4 linked regions of the Caenorhabditis elegans genome follow. The protein of the gene in region 3 purifies or fractionates together with the protein of the main gene of each other region. This does not show direct contact. Each region holds a gene or a part of one and is shown on either strand. Other genes may lie near its edges. The genes, in order: copb-2, tmed-10, imp-2 and pdi-6.

Region 1 (6,623 bases), 1.7 Mb from region 3:
TTTTTGGAGTCCCCTTGAGAAAGCGGGACAAAATTAATCACATGTTTTCGTATGAGTGATGGATCGTAAAAAATCAAGGAAATGTGAAATGTGTAGATTCAAAAATAAACATTTATGAGAACTGAAAAACTAGGTTATTTAAAGAAATCTCACAAAATTTCGACATGTTATATCATATTGTTATAGTATCATGATCATTTCAGAAAGAACAAAGCCAACCACGAGACAGTTGACGGGGTGGCGTCGAGTCGGAAACATTAAACAAGCGGCGAAGCGAATCTTCCGAACGAATTTCAAGACATACTGAAGAGCCACCAATGGAAAGAGAAGCTCGTTCAGTTTCGGCTCAACCTCGTCAAATGGGATTCCGTGCCAAAAATCGTATCGGATTGTCGCCGAATACGCTTTTTCCGTATTGAAATCGGCTCGACGCCTCTTATCATTTTGCTCCTTTTTTGAAGTGCCTTTTGATTATCACTTGTGTAGACATAAATATCTACAAATTGTTCCTGATCAGCCACACATACACTTTCTGTTCCGTTTATTCAAACACGGTTAAAAGAAAAAAAAATCATTTCAATCAATAAAACTCTCATTACATCATTTTTTCGTTAACACGAAAGTTTTGGGGAGGATGATAGTAGAAGTGGAAAAAGCCATAGAACAAAACTTCGAAGAAAACCCCTAGAATACAAAAAACACCGCACAAAAAAGCTGGAAATAACTTAGTGTTTACTTATAAATCAGAAAGGGCGATAAACATAAAAATTCAATAAGTTATGTGATTTTGAAGGCAGAAATATGAAAACGGGGAGGGATGAATTGGGTGGATAGTTGGCAAAGGGAGCTTACGACAGGAGTGACCAGTAGAAATAAAAATCACAAAAAAAGACGAGTGCGCCAAAAACACTATAAATTACATAATTATTTGATAAGAAAAACATTATCACATTCCCATAATACTAATTAACAATTTCCCAAAGAATGTTAGAGAGTGACCGACACCAGATGGGTTAGAAAAAAACCTCTTTTTGGGGTGAAACATGAAAAATAAAATAATTATCTATCGATCGATCTGCTCTGAATCATTCGTCAAAAAATTGTGCATGAAATTACGGATGGAATGGGGACATTGATAGGACGGGAGGGGGGGGGGGGGGGGCTTAAATTACATACACAAAAAAATAACACTGATACTCAGTCTTTCTGATCTTGTTGGGCAGATCGATCGACTACCAGTCAATCTTCCTCGTCTAAATTTAGATCGTCCATATTCAGGTCTCCATTTTCAGCATCTCCAAAATCTTCATCTGACCATTGCGTATCATCTTGGAACTGTAATTGGATTAATTGATTGAATTTTCGCAGTTTATATAATTTTCAAAACATTTATAAATAAATACTTACATCTTGAGCAGATTGTTGTGAAGACGCGGAAACCAAATCTGGAGCGGCGGACCCCCGTGGTGGGACAATATCAGGCCGGCTTGTCTCAAGAACAACATCAGGAGTTTTAGATGTTCCATGAGCATCGGCACTTTCTTGATTCTGAAAATAAATTGGTGATTCTAGCAACGAATAGTCAAATTCCATATGAATAAAAAACTGTTCAAAACGTACAGCTGGAACATGCACCTCTTGCTGATCATCATCGAATTCTTCCTGTTCTTCCTCTTCTTCAGGTTCAGGTTCGCGGATCGGTGATGGCTCACGAATAGGGGATGGCTGGCGTACAGGCGAGGGTTGACGTGCAACTGATGGAGGAGGTGGAGCTTTCAATTGTGTCTCGGTTTGTCTTGGGGCATTCTTAAGTACTGCTTGGCCATCATCAGTAAAAGAAACTGCTCCCGAAGCAACAGCTTCATCCAATTCCTCTTGAATATTCCGGGTAGCAGCTGATGGCACTCGAACGGATGCTGGGACTGGAATCTTGGAGATCTCACGAACGAAAGATTCTGCTTTCAGTGATTGGGTAAATCCAGGGAACAAGTTTTCATACTTCACTGGATCGGCAAGAGATTCTCCAATCTTTCTGCTACTCTTTTCGCTGTGTCCCGAAGCCTTGGCTTTCCACAATTCAAGAATAGATGAAACTCGAGACGGCGCATGTGTTCGAGCAAGGAACGCTGCTTCTGGGAGGCGACCAGTCGAAATAAGTTTGTCTAGACAAGCATCAATATCTCCAAGAAGCAAACTACTGAGGAAGCTGATATTGTGGCTTTCGGCAGCAGCAGAGTCATCCGCAAGTTTCTGAAGAAGAGGAGCTGATCCGGCACACGTTGCAAGAAGCATTAGACCTCCGAAATCGCGAGCTCTTCCAAGACATTCACCAGCAAGAAGAAGTTCCGACTTAAGAGTGGCGGCGTTGCTGAGAGCCTTCCATTTCTCTTCTGAATCGCTTTGCAGTGCCAAATCGTAGGCAGTCTTCAAATCTCCAAGAGCTACCGAGAGATCGAATCTGAAAACGTTCCAAAATTATTGCTGAAAAGCTGAAAATTGTCTTACTTGTGATCAGGGTCTTGAGAGACCGCAAGAGCCTGCTTCTTGAATCCTTGCTTTTCGAGGAAATGAGCAACACGAGTTCTCTGCTCTTTTGGAATTGTAGTAAGTACCTTGTCAGCAGTATCGAAGTCACGGCGCATTACAGCAGTTTGATATTCAAGAACAGATAGAAGAAGTTTGTATGAGATCACGTTGAGATCCTTATCGACGGCATAGACTCGAGATTCCTTAGCCATGTATCCCAACTAAAATATTTAAGTTTTAAAAATGATAAGAACAACGCATGTTTTAAAATCTCACCAAATAAAGTGGTCTATCAACATGAGCAATAGTGACAATTTCTCCACCGACATAATAGTTGATTCTATTGAGTGCAGTGGTGAAAATAAAGCAGTCCCCGATCCAGAATCCCGTCTTCACAGCTTCTGCCTGTTCTCCAATAACCTCAAACGCGTCTTCAATACCGTCTTCGGTCACTTCTGTTGCATTGGCAACTGCTTCAGCACTGTACTTGAGAACGTAGAATGAATCATCTCCACAAATTGCGACCATCTCTCCGTTGTCACTCCAATAGATGCTCTTGGAAGTAATTTCGATACGACGAACAAGAACGGCTGATTCCCAATCAAAGAAGCACAAAGAGTTGTTCGATCTGAAACAAAAAATTAAATAAAAGTCAATTGATAAGAGTTCAAAAACCTCAAGGCAAGAAGTGGTCCACCAGAAATTCCCTCAAGTACCATATCTGAACGAATTGACTTGTGATCCTTGAAGTTCTTCTTTATCTTCACATTGGTGGCAGATTCACGGACAGCAAACATATTTGGATCAACAGCCCAGACAAACTCGAGTCCTTGTCCGAAATCCTTGTTTCTGAGAGCCATTGCAGTATAAACAATGTATTCTCCGTCACCACAAGCGACAACAAAACGTCCATTAGATGAATGAGCAAGGGTTTGTGGATAGATTTCAGAAGATCCGAGATCTTTTACAGAAAGCGGCAGACGTTCTCCATCTGTAAATGAACTGTCTTAGAGTGATAATAAATGAACACAATTTCTCTTTTTTTAATACTTTCAGAAAACATGTGCCGAACTATACAAAAGTCGAATGAAAGTTTTCCAAACCTTGAATGGCTTCCGACTCTTCAGTTGAGATTGTCTTCAGGTTAGCTTGCTGAATTTCGGAGTGCTTTGCCCACAAAATCTTTCCAGACGAATCCATACTGACTGCTGGTTCTTCTCGGCCTAATTTCAACGTGACGGAACCTTCGTCGTATCCGATGGCAATAGTGTTGGCTCCTTTTTGAGCTTGGATGCACCAAACACGTTCCAACCCATAATTCAAGGTTGTTTCCAGTCTAAAAATTTTAAATTGTTGTTGTGGAAATCGTACTTTAATGTTCTTGCCTGTAGGTGTTTGCATGCCACAATCTAACAGTGGAGTCTTCGGATCCTGTGATTATCAATGGCAGTTCTGGGTGGAAACAAACTGAAGACACATTTTGCGCATGTCCATCGAGCGTTTGCACACACGTTTTATTCTGAAAATATCATTTTGGATGAATGCAAAGAGAAAAAAAACTTACTTGGTAATCCCAAATCTTGACCAGATGGTCATCAGCTCCAGAAATAATGTATGGTTTCTCTCCACCATGATAGTAATCGACACAGTTGACTCCTTTCTCGTGTCCTTCCAAAGTGAAATTCGGAACATTCGATCCGAACTGCCATACTTTGACAGTTTTGTCAAGAGAAGCAGTTGCAAAAGTGTTATTATCTTTTGGATTGATGGCAATCTGCATGACATAATGAGTATGCCCTTCGAATGACTGTTTCATTGCCCATTTGTTATCCCAATCCCACATTTTAACAAGCATGTCGTCGGATGATGAAATGACGTAGGGAAGTGTTGGATGAACAACGAGCGATCGGAGATAATCAGAATGTGCTTCGAATTGATGAACTCGTTCCAATGTGTTGTAGTTGAAAACTCTAATATGCATATCGTCAGATCCCGTGACAACCCAGCTCTTTCTTGGAACGAACTTCGCTGCACGAACTGGTACGTCACACACCTGCAAAATTTAGATTCAGTTATTTCGTAATTTCATGAAGTTTGCACATAAATTTGAAAAAAAGCTTACTTCAAATGACTTTACAAGCGTTTGTGTTTCGTAATTCCAGATGTGAACATTTCCATTGTAAAGAGCAGCTAGAAGCCATGTTTCGACTGGATGCAAGTCGACACATTTCACGCGGTCCGAACGAGCCAGAAGCTTTCTTTTTACATCAAGTCGGAGAGGCATCTTGTTCTGAAAAAAAGCTAAAATAAATAAACTCAATGTAAAATTAAGCTGAGCACGAAGAGGAAGATTTGCAAATAGTCAGCTTATAGAAATAAAATAAAACCGAAAGAACATTCAAAAATCGATAATATTCTGGATTTTTAGAATTCAGATGTTTAAATCAACCGAAATTAATCTTTTTTAGAAGAAAATCTTAAAATTCATCAAAAGATACGTTGGCGAAACGATAGAACACTCAAAAGGTAGAGGCGCATCCATCGCCAACTCAGAAAGCCCCGATCGTATCGAGACCACAGCGGGAAAGTCGGCGTGCCTTTGACTTTTTTGTCTGCGTTTCTCACATTTGTGAGGTGTCTCTTACGAACGGTGGCTGCTTCGTGGCAGATTTTATAAATAAAATTGCATTCAGGAAATGTTGTAAAATGAATGAAAAAAAATTACGAGAAAAATCAACTTTTTTTGAAACTGATAGTGAAGTTGTTGAATGTTTATGCAAATTTTGCTCTGGACAACCTTAAACGTTTTAGATTTTTCAAAAAACTCAGTTATATCTTAAAATCGAAGAGGCCCCCTTTGCAGCCTTAGTTTTACCTGATTATGGCAATCTTCTTGCTTATTGTTGTGTTCTCCACAATGTCCAAACCAAGAGCAATATTATAGTAGAAAGAGTACTCGATACGAGTCAGGAATAATAAGAATAACCGATTTTGCTCGTTCTTTTTGTAAATTATCAAGAGAATTTACATAAATTTAGCTAATTATTTATGTAAAATGTGTGTGTGTGTGTGTGTGGAAATGGTATGATTCTTATAATATTGACAACACAATGCTCAAATACAAATAATCAAAACGTAATGCAACAACTGGTAGAAAATAAATAGCTTTCTGTGGGACTTCAAAAATATGGAACTTTTGGTCATTTTCGTTGTGGTTCCATGGTACGAACCCATGTTCATACAGGGTGGGCCAAAAGTATGGTAACACATGAAGCGCTCTTTTACATGAGATTTTCGCGCGACTGCCACGTCATACGTACATTTTTCTATCGAATACTGATAGCTGAATAAATTTCCTTCAATTTGACCCAAAATTTGTAATGTTTCCCAATAAGGTGCGATTTTAATCACCTCGGCAATTTGGCGAACCCTTTTTAAAACGGCATTTTGGCACGCGGCACTTCCCACACAAACGCACCTCCCACGCACGCCAATAATTTTCAGATGTATGATTTTTATGTTAAATTGAAAGTTAAAGAAATGAAGAAGCGTTTTTGATTGTTTTTGTAGCATATAAAAATTTTCTGTGTCGACACTGGCGCCTAGCAAGAACCTTTGAATATTTCATGAATTAAACTTTCCGAAATTTACTCAGTTTTTTTGGTTTCACAAGGCGTAACGACCCACAAAATCAGCAGAGCTAATTTTTTTCTAAAAATTCTGAAAATTCAGGTCAAACCGTGCCAAAAAGTACTAAAATGAATACTGGTGCCGCCGCTCACATCCATCTTTCTGGCGACTGTGTCATTCAAGACCTAAACTACTGCCACAGTCCGTACAGAAATACCACGATAGAAATTTTTTGGATTTTTGTTTTTAAAGAATCTCCAGACCAAGAGCATTCTTTGAACTATAAAAACTTGTAAGATACTTGATGGATTCCTCGAGAAAAATGTAGAAATCCCGCAGAATGCCGACTTGCGTGCCATAAAGATCGTGATCTCAAAAGTTCTGAAGGCCTGCAGCAATGCGGATGGGGATATTTTGAAAATTCAAAACGTTAATCTGGTCAGTATTTTATGGAGAACAAAACTTGT
Region 2 (5,159 bases), on a different chromosome or scaffold from region 3:
AAATTCATTTTTTGTTTAAGAGTTCTATGAAAAGTAAAATGTTTAAAACTAACAAGCAACTACATTTCCAATGCCTTGAGAAAAAACGTTATTATCAAGAAACACGACAAACATTGGACCTTTCATGTATAGTACCTGAAAGACGATTATTTGAAGTAACATTCTCAAAATTTCAATTTCAAGTTCCAATTTTCTATTGTATCGTACCGGCTGTGCAATTATCTCTACTGCAGAGTACAACATCGAACAAAATGTGAATACAAACATAACATGACGGTAACTACCAAACAGTTTTCCAGCTCTTTTCACAATTAATATTGCCAGAACAGTATTGAAGATTTGTGCTCCGAAAAAGCCGGCGTAGTGGAAAATATGTAGACCGATCATTGTTGTAAGTGAACTGGTGGAGAATGAAGTCTGAAGTTATTTCTGAAAGGATGACGTCTGAAAAAGACTTCTTGAAAAGTGATCTTATGTACTTTACTAAATCACCATATGGTGAGTAAATTACCAATTGATGTTTCAATGTTTCAATTTAAAAGTTCATAATAATGATTTTAAAAAACGGCAATGATGAAAACAGAAAAATAAGACGGAAACATTACACACTATACATTTTACCCTTTGTTGATACTTGTGCAGATTAACGGGGGAGGAAACAACTAAAATCCAACAAAATAAAATACTCATTATCATCATTATCTAGTAAAAAAGATGTGGGAACCAATTAGAAATCACATGAAACGTTTGGGTGTGTGGACAAAAGAGATGTTGGGGGAAAAGCAAGAAGTTGAGGAGAACCGAAAAAAAAATTGATAAATTAATCATAAATTAAGGGTTGGGGAAATCTAGTCGATAAGCTTTTTCGACTTGAAGTAATTACGGAGGAAAAGAACTTGCCAAATGGCAAGACCAAGAAGGCACAGCATTGAAAAGATGGACAGGTAAAGAACTCGGCTGTTTGTCGATTCTGTAAAAAAAAGTAAAAAATAGATGGTTGTCGATGAATCGAATAATTAGAGTTTGCTCAAGTAAAGTGGTAAACAATTTCCAGGGATCACAATATCCTGCTCCGTGAAGAGAATGAATTGCGTCTCGAAACGATATGTTGTAGCCTTACAAATCTATTTAATTAACAATGATAATAAAAGCTTAATACAGTGCTCCACATAATGATACGGCCACCCCCAAATTTTGGTATAACTCAAAACTGGGTTGAGATAGCAAAACATAATTTCTTGTGAAAATGTCCGCTGTACTGGCTAACTTTCAGATAAGTATTGGAAATATACATGAACCGTTCGTAAAAAAAGATAAACCATTTTTTCATGAAAATCCATATAAAAAAATCCACAAAATGATACGGCCACCCTTGGTTTTTGTTTTCTTTTTTCGTTTTCTTTGCAATTTTTTTTTGCTAAACGTTAGGTTTTATGTTCGTTTGTGTTTTTACAGCTATGTGTCGTGGAATAACTTTAACTGACTACGGAAAAAGACGAATTGTGCAAAATTATCTCAAGGCTTTTCGGATCGTCAGATTTTTCGTGATTTGAAACGTTCAAGAGATATGATCACTCGATTTGCTTCAAATCCTGCCACTTATTGCACCAAAAAGTCTTCTGGTCGCCCACCACTTCTTTCTGGTAGAGACAAGCGAAAAATCGTTCGTCTAGCATCCAATTGAACAGTGACTTGCTCAAAAATTAGGCGCGAGATGAACCTGCCAGTGTCTGTTGAGACTGCACGACGTGTTATTTCGAAGTCTCAGTTTATCAAAAGACGAAAATTAGGAAAGGCTCCTTTCATTACCGAAAAACACTGCCAAAGTCGTATTCAGTTTGCTAAAATCAGCCAGAGAACTAACTGGAGACAAGTGAGGATTACGGTATGATCATTCAAGCTCATGTATTGGTCTCAGATCATCTTCAGTGACGAGGAAAAGTTTAACTGTGATGAACCAGAAGGCTACCGTGATTACTGGTACGATTTGAGAGAAGAAAAGATGAACTAAAACCAAAATTGGGCTTGAATGATCATACGGTAATCTTCACTTGTCTCCAGTTAGTTCTCTGGCTGATTTTAGCTAACTGAATACGATTTTAGCGGTTTTTTCGGTAATGAAAGGAGCCTTTCTCAATTTTCGTCTTTTGATAAACTGGGAATTCGAAAGAACACGTCGTGCAGTCTCAACAGACACTGGCAGGTTCATCTCGCGCCTAATTTTTGAGAAAGTCACTGTTCAATTTGATGCTCGACGAACGATTTTTCGCTTGTCTCTACCAGAAAGAAGTGGTGGGCGACCAGAAGACTGTTTGGTGCAATGAGCGGCAGGATTTGAAGCATATCGAATGATCATATCTCTCGAACGTTTCAAATCACGAGAAATCTGACGATCCGAAAAGCCTTGAGATAATTTTGCACAATTTGTCTTTTTCCGTAGTCAGTTAAAGTTATTCCACGACACATAGCTGTAAAAACACAAACGAACATGAAACCTAACGTTTAGCAAAAAAAATTGCAAAGAAAACGAAAAAAGAAAACAATAACCAAGGGTGGCCGTATCATTTTGTGGATTTTTTTATATGGATTTTCATGAAAAAATGGTTTATCTTTTTTTACGAACGGTTCATGTATATTTCCAATACTTATCTGAAAGTTAGCCAGTACAGCGGACATTTTCACAAGAAATTATGTTTTGCTATCTCAACCCAGTTTTGAGTTATACCAAAATTTGGGGGTGGCCGTATCATTATGTGGAGCACTGTACTTGGATAATCGGCAATGCATTATTTTTAAATTAAAATAATTACGAACCTTTTATATGATTCAAATGATTTTTTAAACACTTACCGTTCGTATTTCTCATTTCTTCCTCTCTTTGGCGCATGAATGCGAAATCTTTGGTGATTGAATCAGCCATATCCTCCAATCTTCTAAGTTCAACCTCGAGTGGCTTCAGCTTCTCGGCTTTGGCAATATCATCATAATTCTTGGCTTCGACTCCGTGCTTCAAAATAAGAGAAACCTCGCGCTTCTCTCCAGGATGCCCAGCTGGTGGATGATTCTCAATGCAAATCTCAAAGATGTCGTATTCGTCAGCAGTGAACGCGAATTTTCCTTTTAGATCAGCAAAGTTTTCACGTTTGTAGAGAGTGTGGCCTCTGGTGTCGGTGACCTGAAAATAAATTAAAAATTTGAAGTAATTTTGAAACTATTTTTACTCACGTGAATACTTCCAGTGTATTGAATTCCTTGACTGAACTCATATTCTCCTGTTACGACCACATTCTGCAAGAGGTTTTATTAGACATAAATTCTGATGTTTATTAAATATATCAATTTTTAACGAAAAAAAGTATGTTTGACATCTTTACTGCTATGGTAACAAGGAGTTGTAAAAGTATTTACCTTGTGAATTTCCTCTTTCAGACACTTTTTCTCTTTTGGTGGCACGTAGAACCTCAGAGAATGGGCAAGAACGATAGCTGACAGAAAGATAACTAGAGATTTCATAATTGTTCGGATGATTACCTGGAAATAAATGTAAGAAAAATGCGATAATGAATATTAAGTTGTTCAAAAGTTATCATGGACAAAAATCAGTTCATGTTAAAGGAATACACAGCAAAAATCAATACAAACGCCGAAAATAAATTTAAAAAAGATGGAATTAAAACCAACGCGGCGTATGCAGTTGCGCGTGGGATCGAGTGTGTACGCAAACACGCATTGGCAACCGTAGTTGAGTTGTCAACGTTGACAAACGCATTTTAACAGGAAAACACAGCGCCTCAAATCGGGAGAGTTAAGAAAATCGAGAATAGGAAAGTCCAACGGAGCGCGTTTGCACACTTTTACGGTATTAAATGAGTTTCAGACGAAATTTCGCGATTATTCGAGTTTTCAAGATGAAATTTGGAAAAAATAATTAAATATTGGGATTATTATTGCTTTAAAAAAGTTTTAAAAAACATTTTATTCAACAAATTCACGATTTGGCTGCTTTTTCATTGATTTTCGAACCGACTAGAACAAGTTAACTTTATGACAAAATTTCTACGCGAAACAAATTTTTTCAAGCATTAATATGTTTGATTCCAATTTTTAAACGTCAGCTTGATAGAGATAACACGGTTTCACGTCTTGAAATTGTTCAAAAATGCCCACATCAACGGAAACTGTTTAGTTGGCAGCTGATCTTCACTAAACCAACACTAAATGTTCAGATCAAATCACAACTTGTTTGATCATTTGAAAAAACATTTTTGAATCATTGTTTCCCACAAAAAGCAGATGATAAGTAGTATAGCATGATGAGAATCCATTAGATTCTTCATATGCGCATAGCTATAGATACTGTATCTTCGACAACTCCTATCTCCTCAGAGATGCAAGATATCAAAAAGTGATTAACTAGGAAATTGTAGAAACTATACTAATTAGTTAAAATCATGTGTTTATCTCTTAAGATGAGGGAGTTAGAGCAGCCAGTAGAATAACAAAAAGCATGCAATACAAATGTACGTCTAACTCCCCCATCTTGAAAGATAAAAACGCAGGTTAAATTGAATATCATAGTTTTTGATGTGCTCTACAAGTTCTCTCACCTCTCCGAGTAGATAGGAGTTGTCGAAGTTGAGGTATCTAGAGCCGTAGAGGGCAGGAAGAACCTGATGGTTCCTTATTAAGAAAAAGAAAATATAACACGAAACTTGTAAAAAATGTTAATTTGATCATTTATGTGAGTATTTGATCCATTTTTTAAGGAAAATTGGAGAGCAACACTTGCATAAGAAATTTGGCGTGGCATAGATCCATTGGTAGATTGGAACATTGAAATTTGATCAGAACTATTTGTACTTTTAGTGATTTTGATTGATTTGTAGCTTTATTCTAGTGAAATCTTTGATTTCATACAAGTTTTTTAACCAATTTTGCAAGATTTCCCTTGATAAATGTTGCTTTACTTTTTTATCGATTTCGTTGTAAAGAAAAATCATTTTCTGTGTTATCAGTCAAATTAATGACTAAAACACTTTAAAAAGATTCAAACTATTAGTAAAAATTCTAAAATTGAATATTTATGCAATAAATTGCTCTAAAATCAATTTTTATTTGCAAAATTCTGTTTTTGGTCAAAAAAAATTTTCAGATCCGCC
Region 3 (4,472 bases):
CGGAGCTCCTTGATCTGGGAGACAGATAGTCCATCGAGCTTGATCGAATCTTCCTCTCTGAAAATATTATTTATCAATTTCAATTTTTTTTGTTAACTAGTTATATTTTTAAATTGTTTTAAACTGTATTGTGTTTTAATTGTACAGTTTTGATCTTTAATTTTCCAAAATTTTATCAGAAACCCTAGAAAATAATGCGTTCACTTCTAATCCGTGTATGGCATCCCTAATACTACACCTTCCATTAGCAGAAGATTAAATCTTGTGATTCGTATCTCCGTCCTTGACAGGCTATTACGTGAATCTAGGAAAGCATACGTTAAATTATCTAGGTCGGAGATAACCCTTTTAGTCTCTCTTGACCCTTCAGCCGATTTTTCTTATTTGAGAAAAAGGAAACACAAACAAGATAAGATAACCTAGCAGTAGATCGAGTCTGTTTGCATTCCGACAAAGGGCAAGACTCAATCAAATAGTGCTCCGCGGGAGTACAAAATAGTGTGCAAAACGGATGAGAGTCACCAAGTGGACTGACGCGACCTGGTACCGTTCAAAAGTTTTGGCTGAGGCCGGGGGTAGACAAATATTGAGATAGTTCAGAGTAACCAGGAAAAGGAACAGACACGTAGTGACAGGTCAATTTATTTGGAAAGTGGAAGAAAATGTGATTTATCTTTTTGGAACACTTAATCCAGCTAAAACTGTAACTATTCAATATTAAGAGCGAAAAACGAATTCGAAAGATATTTCTGATATATTAGATCTAATTAAAAATTAACAAGGTTATTGATTCTGATTTCGACATATTCACGAAATTGTTCAAAAAATGTACGAAACACAATTCAAAATTCTCTAGACTTTTTCAAATTGCAATTTTTCATAATAATCAAATTATCAAAAATTACCTTGTTTCTTCTTTGGTTTCCTTTGGTGCGTCTTCGATTTCATCTTCGGCGTAGACATTTGGAATGAAGGCTGAAAAGTGATGATTGTTGGGAATAAAAACGTGAATTCAAAAACTGCGTGGCGTGTATGCACAGAATGAAAAAATAAAGCCTAATGTTTTTATTCTGTGAACACAGTTTTAATATTTTCAGCGTACATTTAAGCTTAAAAATTTTTTTTACAATTTCAAAACTACGGTTTTCTATTTAAAGCTCACTAAGCTCTGAAAATCAATAAAAAGACATACCTGAAACAGCCAGAAGGGCGACGAAGCCCACCAAAAGGAATCTCATCGCCGTCTCTTCCTAACGACCGAGAATAAATGGAATGAGGTGTCTTTCCAACGGTCAATTACTCCCCTTTTCTCTCCGCTTGTTTGCTTTCTTTCGCCGGGGCTCACCCCTTCTCGACGTGTCCCTAAAAGTCCCGCCCCAATTTGCAAGTGCCGCACAGTGTCTGCGTCTCTTGCAAACACGTTGTCCTTCACTGAAAACTGCAAACTGCGGCGCGTTACTAGTTGCAAACAGAGGCGGAATCAGCCAATCAACGACCGAGACGACAGCTCAGAACACGTGGAGTGAGTGTCCTGGAACATTGTTTTTGTTTGCCGGATCCAGCAATATGGAATATGTTAATTTAAAAGACGATTTTTCAGTCTTTCTATTATAACAGTCACTCAAGTAATGTTCGGATCATCTAAATTAATCCTTATAGAAATTAATCATCTCACTTGTCTTGAGAATTTGTGAAATTTGTGATCGTTACTCAGCAAACTTACTTGTTTATCCGTCTCATAAACCGGTTTCTCATCTCAATCAGGCAATATACCTCCATTTCTTAATCTCAGTTTTTCCAGTTGGGAATTCAAACCTTTCGCGACATGGCTGAAGCAGCGACCGAAATCCCGCCGACGGCTAGCAATGTCACAGTTTTTACATTCGAAGAACAGGTGAGATTTTTACTGAAATTTTGTAAAATAAATGAAGTGGACAAGTATAAAATTACAACGAAGTTTTTATTAAATGTGATAAATAGCCATGCGAACTTTTTTAAATCAATTTTTCATTCAGGCTACAAGCTCGTTGGCGCTTTACGGAATGTCTATCCTCTGCATCATCATTGGATCGATTCGTTCAGCTCAATACATAAGGACGAATATTGACAAGAAGCGACTTATTGAAGGTTCGATCACTATGAGAGAAGCCAGGAAATTCCCTATTTCTGCTTCTCTGGTTCTCTTCGGTCTCTACCTCTTCTTCAAGCCTGCCGCCGAACGCTTCCTTTGGGTTGCCAGAGTCTTCCAAATTCTGCGAGTTCCCGAAGAATATGTCCAGAAGATCAATAGCACTATTATCAGCTATACCGCTAATACTACGACTACTGGGCCTTCCGAGCCATTCTTGCTCCGCTTGGCGTCAAGGATACCTCAAGAACGCGTTCCAGAAGCAATTCAAAATGCGGCTACATACGCTTATACCAACTTACCAACAATTCAAAAAGCAGAATGTATGCAACTCTTGACTTTCCTCATCTGTTTCGAAGGAGTCAACGCTTTCGCGTCTCTGTTGAAGCCATTTGTTACCGCGTTTCTCAAAAAGATGCCACTGGTTCCATCCTTCTTAAGATTCAATGCTCCGTACTTATTCTCTCTCAAAAAGGGAAATAAGGAAATGGAAGAGGGTGATATCGAAGATGCGAAGAAAAAGGAAACGGAATATCTTTTCAAAATTGACTTTGATCGTTACGATATCATCGCTTTATTGATGTGCTCTCCAATTCTCATTTCTCACCTGCTGAAAAGACACTGGATCACCAATAATATTATCGGAGTGAGCTTCTCAATCTTGGGAATCGAACGTCTTCATTTGGCCAGTTTCAAGGTAAATTTAACAATTATTAAAAAATATAGCAATATTTTTGTAATAAGACAAAAAAGCTACAATTACGCTTACTGAATGGAAGAATAATTTCAATTGACCAGATAGTAATAATATATTTTTGAACTAACTTGAAATATTTGGACAAAGTAAATAGTTCTCAATTTTGGCCTAAAGCTGTTTAAAAGAAACTTTTAAATATCAAACCGTTATTTGCAAAAATAGGTTTTAAAAAAATTTCATTGAAAAGACTAATTAATATCATTATTAATTTTTTTTACAGGCTGGATCCCTTCTTCTCGTTGGTCTCTTTTTCTATGACATCTTCTGGGTTTTCGGAACAGACGTGATGACATCTGTCGCAAAAGGAATTGATGCTCCGATTTTGCTCCAATTCCCTCAAGATATCTATCGAAATGGAATAATGGAAGCCAGTAAGCACAGTATGCTTGGGCTTGGAGACATTGTTATCCCTGGAATCTTCATTGCTCTCCTTCGTCGGTTCGACTACAGAGTTGTTCAAACGACTGCCGAGTCGAAGGCTCCACAAGGATCCTTGAAAGGACGATACTACTTCGTGGTTACTGTCGTCGCTTACATGGCTGGACTTTTCATCACTATGGCTGTTATGCATCACTTCAAGGCTGCTCAACCAGCTCTTCTCTATTTGGTGCCGTGTTGTCTTTTCGTACCCCTCCTTCTTGCTGTGATCCGTGGAGAACTTTCGGCTTTATGGAACTACGATGAATCAAGACATGTGGATAACGAAGAAAATCGAAAGAAAGTAGACTCCGGCAAGAAAAATAACTAAATGATTTAAAATAGTCTAAAGTATGCTATTCCTGCTTGTTATTCTGTTTTCGAAGAATACTTGAATTGGAAAACCTAACTTATCGTACTTTTGACTATTTCTAGATATTCTAGTCATTTAATTCAACTCGATTCCATGTCCCACCACATCCTAGCATAATCATTCTGATTCCTGTCCTTTCCATTGTTATCTTCCGTTTTCCCGGGTCTTTTTAGCTTTTCCAACCCCCTTACTGTCCTGTTTGAACCAAAAAAGGTATTTTGTTTTCATATTTATTTACATGTATTTAGTAACTTATTCTATAAATGCATTGAATTTATTTATACGTTCATCTTTTTTTAAATATATACAGACCACAATAACGAAGTAGCTATCAAATGTCATTCAGAAAATCAAAATATCCTGTTACATTATTAGCTAACATATCAACATAATAAGGTGAAAGAGTTTTGGGGATGACACCCGCGAAAGAGCAATATTTTTGAAAAGTGAAAAGAAATTGGTCGAAATGTGAAAGTTTTAGAGTGATGTACTTGTTACTTTGGACTGTCGTTTTTTATTTTTGTGAACGAGAACGAATGCAGAACCAAACAGACTACACACGAAAGCTGCCCACTGTAGGAGGGAAGAAAAACCAAAAACATAATATGCCCAACCGTAATGAATCTGAAATTTCGAATTTTTGTAAATAACTTTAATTTTGCAAATATGAACAAACCTGAAACTGATATCCGGATACCAATTCATATTGATTGTCTTTCAATTCGTAATAGTAGGTATACGTCAAAAATCCAGATAGAGAACACATTGCTGAAATTATTTCAGTGATGAATCAACTT
Region 4 (4,491 bases), on a different chromosome or scaffold from region 3:
AAAAAAATTGGTAAATCATGAATTTATTGAAAACGTCTTGTTTGAAAAAGAATCTGTAAAATATTCTGAAACAATCAACATTTCGGAAATTTATTTTAAAAAATCGCAAACAACTCTTTTGAATATGAATATGAAAATGAAAATGAATATGAATTATGAATATGAACTAGGAGCACGTAACCTTGAAAAAGCTCAGAACAAATGGTGTGGTTGAATGTGAACATAAACCAGAAAAAAAAACAATCTAAACATATCAGTTCATAACTTTGTTTCTTGACTAATAGTGGTGAAAATCACCAAATTTTACTTATTTGATCTGACCAGCACAAGTTTTCTGCTTCTTTGGTTTTGTATCCCTTTGTGCCCGAGTAATTGAATTGGTAACGTTTGAATTATTAAGTTGCTCTAGCAGCTGAAAGTTATTAAAAATATATCTTACATCGATATTAAATATTTCTCAACCCTTAGTTCCGTATTGAAAAAGAAAATCAAGAATTTGAAAACCTTCAACCGAAGATTTTTGATTTTCACTTTTAATAATCCATAGCTTCCTGAAATACTTTATTTAACAAAACAGAGAACAAAAATAAATAAATACGAGAAAAATCGCTAAAGTCACAAAACATGTATGGATGTAACGCAGTTAGACGAGTTATCTGGTGAGAACACCCGTTACAATTAAAACAAAATTGCATGGTGAGAGTAAGTTTTTGGTGTCGATGTATGTAGAAAATTCATGATTTTAAAGCTCGGTCTTATCGAGGTCAATGTCAGACAAGTCGATGTCGTCTTCAGCTGGAAGGGCTCCGTCCTTTCCGTCCCACTTCTCAGTCTTCTGAATCTTTGGGAATCCATCTCCTCGAAGGGAAGAAGTGCGTCCCTTTCCATACGAGAGATCACGGAGGAACTCGTGGATTCCATCTTTTCCGAAGGATCCCTTGAGCACGGCGTACTTGTTCTTGCGGAAGTTCAAAGCAGTCATGGCTGGATATCCAAAACCTCCAACTTCGAAGGACTCCTCAAGAGCTGGCTGAGCGGCTCCTTCAACCCAAATCCATCTGAAATTATTTAAATTAGAATGAAATTTTGTAAAATTATATAAAACATACCCCCAAAGGTTCTTCTTGAATTTCTCGGATTGCTCCTTGAGCATAGCCAAATAATTGTTTCTGCACTCCGATTGGCAGTCAAGAATGTGTGGGAGGAAGGCAAAAATGCAAAGCTGTTTCTCCTTGCATGCATCCTCTACGACTTGTTGGTTGATTCCTTCAAAGACCTCTGGAGCTGGCATGTTTTCTTGAGCACGAGCTGAAGCCCAGGCAACGATGTCAGAAGATTGACGTCCTCCATCGTAGTCTTGAGCGTCAGAAACATCAGATCCTGGAGCGAAATACTTGATGGTTGGGAATCCACGAATGGCGAACTTGTTGGCGACGACAGTATGAACAGTGGCGTCGAGAGCTCCGAGACGAACTTTGCCCTTGAGTTCAGAAGCGGCGGCCTTCCATTGTGGCTCAAGGCTTTTGCAGTGTCCGCACCATGGGGCAAAGAACTCGACAAGCCAGATATCCTTGCTGTTGAGAACGAGATCCTCGAAGTTGGCATCAGTAAGTTCAACAACTTCATTTCCAGATCCACCTCCTCCACGCTTTCCAGATCCAGATCCGGATCCACTGCTGCTGCTTCCTGATGATTTTCCTCCAAGCCGAGCAGAGACTGCCTTTTTGGCTTCAGCGAGAACCGAGTCAGCGATTGCCTGAGCAGTTCTTTGTCCTGCAAAAATAAATCAATATCATCTTGGTCTTTTTACACACATACACAGACACACGCACGCTCTAAATGACCCAGATCGCTCAGAGGCCGGCGTCTCTCCTATCTTCCACCCTATAGACTGGTACGCACAATTACTTTGCCGCAAGGTCGTCCACATCTATAGAGCGGATCGGCCAAACATAATATCTGAGCAAACAGTTACTAAACACACAACTAGTTGCGGCCAGCTCAATTGACTGACCGACAGTGCACACAGAAAATAGTTCGAGTGGGGAGAGGGTGGAAATGAGACAAATCAGTTTTTGTTTGCCGTACCGGCTTGTGACTATTGTCCTTTTTCAGTTATTTTTGTGCAAGTTTGTCGACAACCAATCCAAATTTCCGCTTGTAAATTATTAAGAAGAAATTGGATAATTGCTTACCGTTGTAGTCTGTTGGCTTCTTCTTGTCGGCTCCGAAGATCTTGAGAGTTGGGAATCCTTGAACATTGTATGGTCCTCCGACGGATTGATGTTGAGTCATATCAACGGCTCCAACCTTGGCGACTCCCTTGAGTGCTGAAGCAGCTTTCTTGTATTCTGGGACCAGACTCTTGCAGTGACCGCACCATGGAGCATAGAACTCAACAATCCAAATATCATCAGAGTTGATAACCTTTGATTGGAAATTGGCCTCGGTCAGCTCGACGACATCATCCTTTTTTGAGTACATTCCACATACCGAAGTTATCGCTGCAAAATTTTAATTAATTTAATATTAGTTTTGTATAAAATTCTTTTTTCCTAATCAAAAACACCAAATGAAGAATACTTCACATTTTCTAAAACAAAAACTTACCCAAAGATGCGAGGAGCAACTTGATGAGAGCCATGACGATCCACTAATCTCACTGGTTTGTCTGTGAGACCGTACAGAATGGGGAGCGATTCCAAACTGAGTCAAATGCGTGTACAGAGGGCGGGAGTGTGACGTTGCGCGTCGTGTGTGTGCAGTTGATTGGTCAACGTGTCGTACAGTAGAGCGCTTTGCGCAAATAGTTCTCGCCACGGCCCCGGCACAGGCATTAAATGGAGAGTTGCGAAATGCAATGAGAAAACTATGAGGGTTAGGGAAGACGTTTTAAAAAGAAAAATTTAATAAAAAAAATGTTTTTTTAACAGAATCTATTAATTTATCGAAATAACTGAAAACATTTCGATGATTACACGACAAAATAAAATTCCTCAGTGTTTGTTCTTTCTTGTTTTCAAAAATATTTTTACATCTAACATTTATAAATTGTTTATCTTGAAATAAACTTGTAACACTCTCAATGCCAAAAATAGTTATTTGGAATAAAGGTGTTAATTGAAGATTTCCAACAAAATAATCTTGCGATACGGTCAGTGGACCGTTCTTATTCCTTGTCTACATTAATTACCTACTGGAACTGTTCCCCACGGATGTTTTTGTATACGCATTTGCCGACGATATCAAGATACTCGGTGAAAATTCGGACTCTATGCAAAAAGCGATCAATGTCGTCACTGATTGGTGTGCAAAGTGAAACTTAAACTTGGCCGAGAACAAAACCAATGTCATACACCTCGGGAAGCGCAACCCAAGAACAGATTATCATGCGAATGGAATACAAATAATTAAAAAGTATTCAGTCAACGATCTAGACATTTTCGTGGATTGCAAGCTAAACTTCCAAAAACATATCGAATATGTATCAAATTCTGCTTTCCTCAAGTGTAGACAGCTTCTTCGATGCTTTCGCTTTACCAATGTCAGTTTGTACTTTAAGTTATACAACGTTTACGTTCAACCGCTGCTGAATTACGGATGTGAGGTCTACAACCCTAACTCCAAACGTCTGATAAAGCTACTTGAAATGCCGCTGAAATTCTATTCAAGAAGAGTGTATCAACGATGCAATGTCTCAAACACGTCGTACGATGATCGACTGGCTCAGTCAAATCAAAAATCCATTCAACACCAGCGAATTCTCCAAATATTAAGGACCTACCACAACATCTTATCTGGCGAATACCATTTTCCGGATGTCTCAGCACTAAAGAATTCCTCGGCAATTCCCGACAGCTTCTTCCCCAAGTTTGGGCCTTTTCAGCTTCTTACCCAACTCTTGCCAACTTCTAACCCAGAGTATGCCCAAGTCTTACCCAACTTCAGCAATTCTAGTGTAAACTCCCTCGCCCGAGTTCTGCCCAAGCCTTAGCCAAGTTTTGCCAACTTCTTACCCAAGTTTGCAGATGTAAAGAACGAACAAGATTCCGAAATTCCACATGCGCAATGTTTAGCGTAAATCGACACTTTGTCTTTTGATTAATTTGTATTTACAATAGAGGAATTTCAATGTAATTGAAAGAATTCACAGGAAAACTTGTCCCTTCAAAGGCAAATTCTAAATATTTTTCTTTGATGGCTAACATTGTTAAAGAAAATGTACGAACAGAGTCTGATTTTTATTGCCATTTTATCTAATAAACCATATAATTTATCTAAAAATAAAAAGAAAAGTTATCTTCAGGAAGATTCTTCTCCTAGTCAGTCCAATAGTCAGATAATAGTCAGTCAATCCTATGCATCAAATTTTGAATTTTTCTAAGACTGAACTGTTCCTTTGAAATGTAAACTTTTATAAAATTAAGAGACATGAAACAAACACGAATTACAGTAATTCTCTAAATTCTGAACTTAGAATCATTAGGGAGC

The links.
Region 1: the proteins of imp-2 (region 3) and copb-2 fractionate together in Caenorhabditis elegans (co-fractionation; one large-scale study listed by BioGRID). This does not show direct contact.
Region 2: the proteins of imp-2 (region 3) and tmed-10 fractionate together in Caenorhabditis elegans (co-fractionation; one large-scale study listed by BioGRID). This does not show direct contact.
Region 4: the proteins of imp-2 (region 3) and pdi-6 fractionate together in Caenorhabditis elegans (co-fractionation; one large-scale study listed by BioGRID). This does not show direct contact.

Annotation. Positions count from the first base shown.
Region 1 is NC_003282.8:9,457,924-9,464,546, reverse strand, and holds copb-2 (putative coatomer subunit beta'), read right to left. Parts: upstream 4,817-6,623; 5' UTR 4,811-4,816; coding exon 4,649-4,810; intron 4,580-4,648; coding exon 4,091-4,579; intron 4,046-4,090; coding exon 3,912-4,045; intron 3,863-3,911; coding exon 3,630-3,862; intron 3,518-3,629; coding exon 3,202-3,517; intron 3,155-3,201; coding exon 2,803-3,154; intron 2,748-2,802; coding exon 2,506-2,747; intron 2,459-2,505; coding exon 1,621-2,458; intron 1,549-1,620; coding exon 1,408-1,548; intron 1,336-1,407; coding exon 1,240-1,335; 3' UTR 527-1,239; downstream 1-526. Other genes in the region: F38E11.6 (Adenylate kinase), read left to right, coding at 204-233. UniProt on the Caenorhabditis elegans protein: The coatomer is a cytosolic protein complex that binds to dilysine motifs and reversibly associates with Golgi non-clathrin-coated vesicles, which further mediate biosynthetic protein transport from the ER, via the Golgi up to the trans Golgi network.
Region 2 is NC_003283.11:11,323,434-11,328,592, forward strand, and holds tmed-10 (GOLD domain-containing protein), read right to left. Parts: upstream 3,532-5,159; 5' UTR 3,514-3,531; coding exon 3,409-3,513; intron 3,289-3,408; coding exon 3,226-3,288; intron 3,176-3,225; coding exon 2,851-3,175; intron 971-2,850; coding exon 849-970; 3' UTR 532-848; downstream 1-531. Other genes in the region: str-141 (Serpentine receptor class r-10), read right to left, coding at 54-135, 208-387.
Region 3 is NC_003282.8:11,116,217-11,120,688, reverse strand, and holds imp-2 (Intramembrane protease 2), read left to right. Parts: upstream 1-1,801; 5' UTR 1,802-1,825; coding exon 1,826-1,894; intron 1,895-2,015; coding exon 2,016-2,825; intron 2,826-3,105; coding exon 3,106-3,633; 3' UTR 3,634-3,957; downstream 3,958-4,472. Other genes in the region: enpl-1 (Endoplasmin homolog), read right to left, coding at 1-57, 906-975, 1,193-1,238; clc-9 (CLaudin-like in Caenorhabditis), read right to left, coding at 4,153-4,299, 4,352-4,443. UniProt on the Caenorhabditis elegans protein: Acts as intramembrane protease. In larvae, required for the complete shedding of the cuticle during molting, possibly by regulating cholesterol uptake via lrp-1. Involved in embryonic and larval development.
Region 4 is NC_003284.9:7,065,797-7,070,287, forward strand, and holds pdi-6 (Protein disulfide-isomerase A6 homolog), read right to left. Parts: upstream 2,768-4,491; 5' UTR 2,645-2,767; coding exon 2,611-2,644; intron 2,505-2,610; coding exon 2,196-2,504; intron 2,114-2,195; exon of another isoform or gene 1,973-2,113; intron 1,774-1,972; coding exon 1,110-1,773; intron 1,059-1,109; coding exon 743-1,058; 3' UTR 546-742; downstream 1-545. UniProt on the Caenorhabditis elegans protein: May function as a chaperone that inhibits aggregation of misfolded proteins. May negatively regulate the unfolded protein response (UPR) through binding to UPR sensors.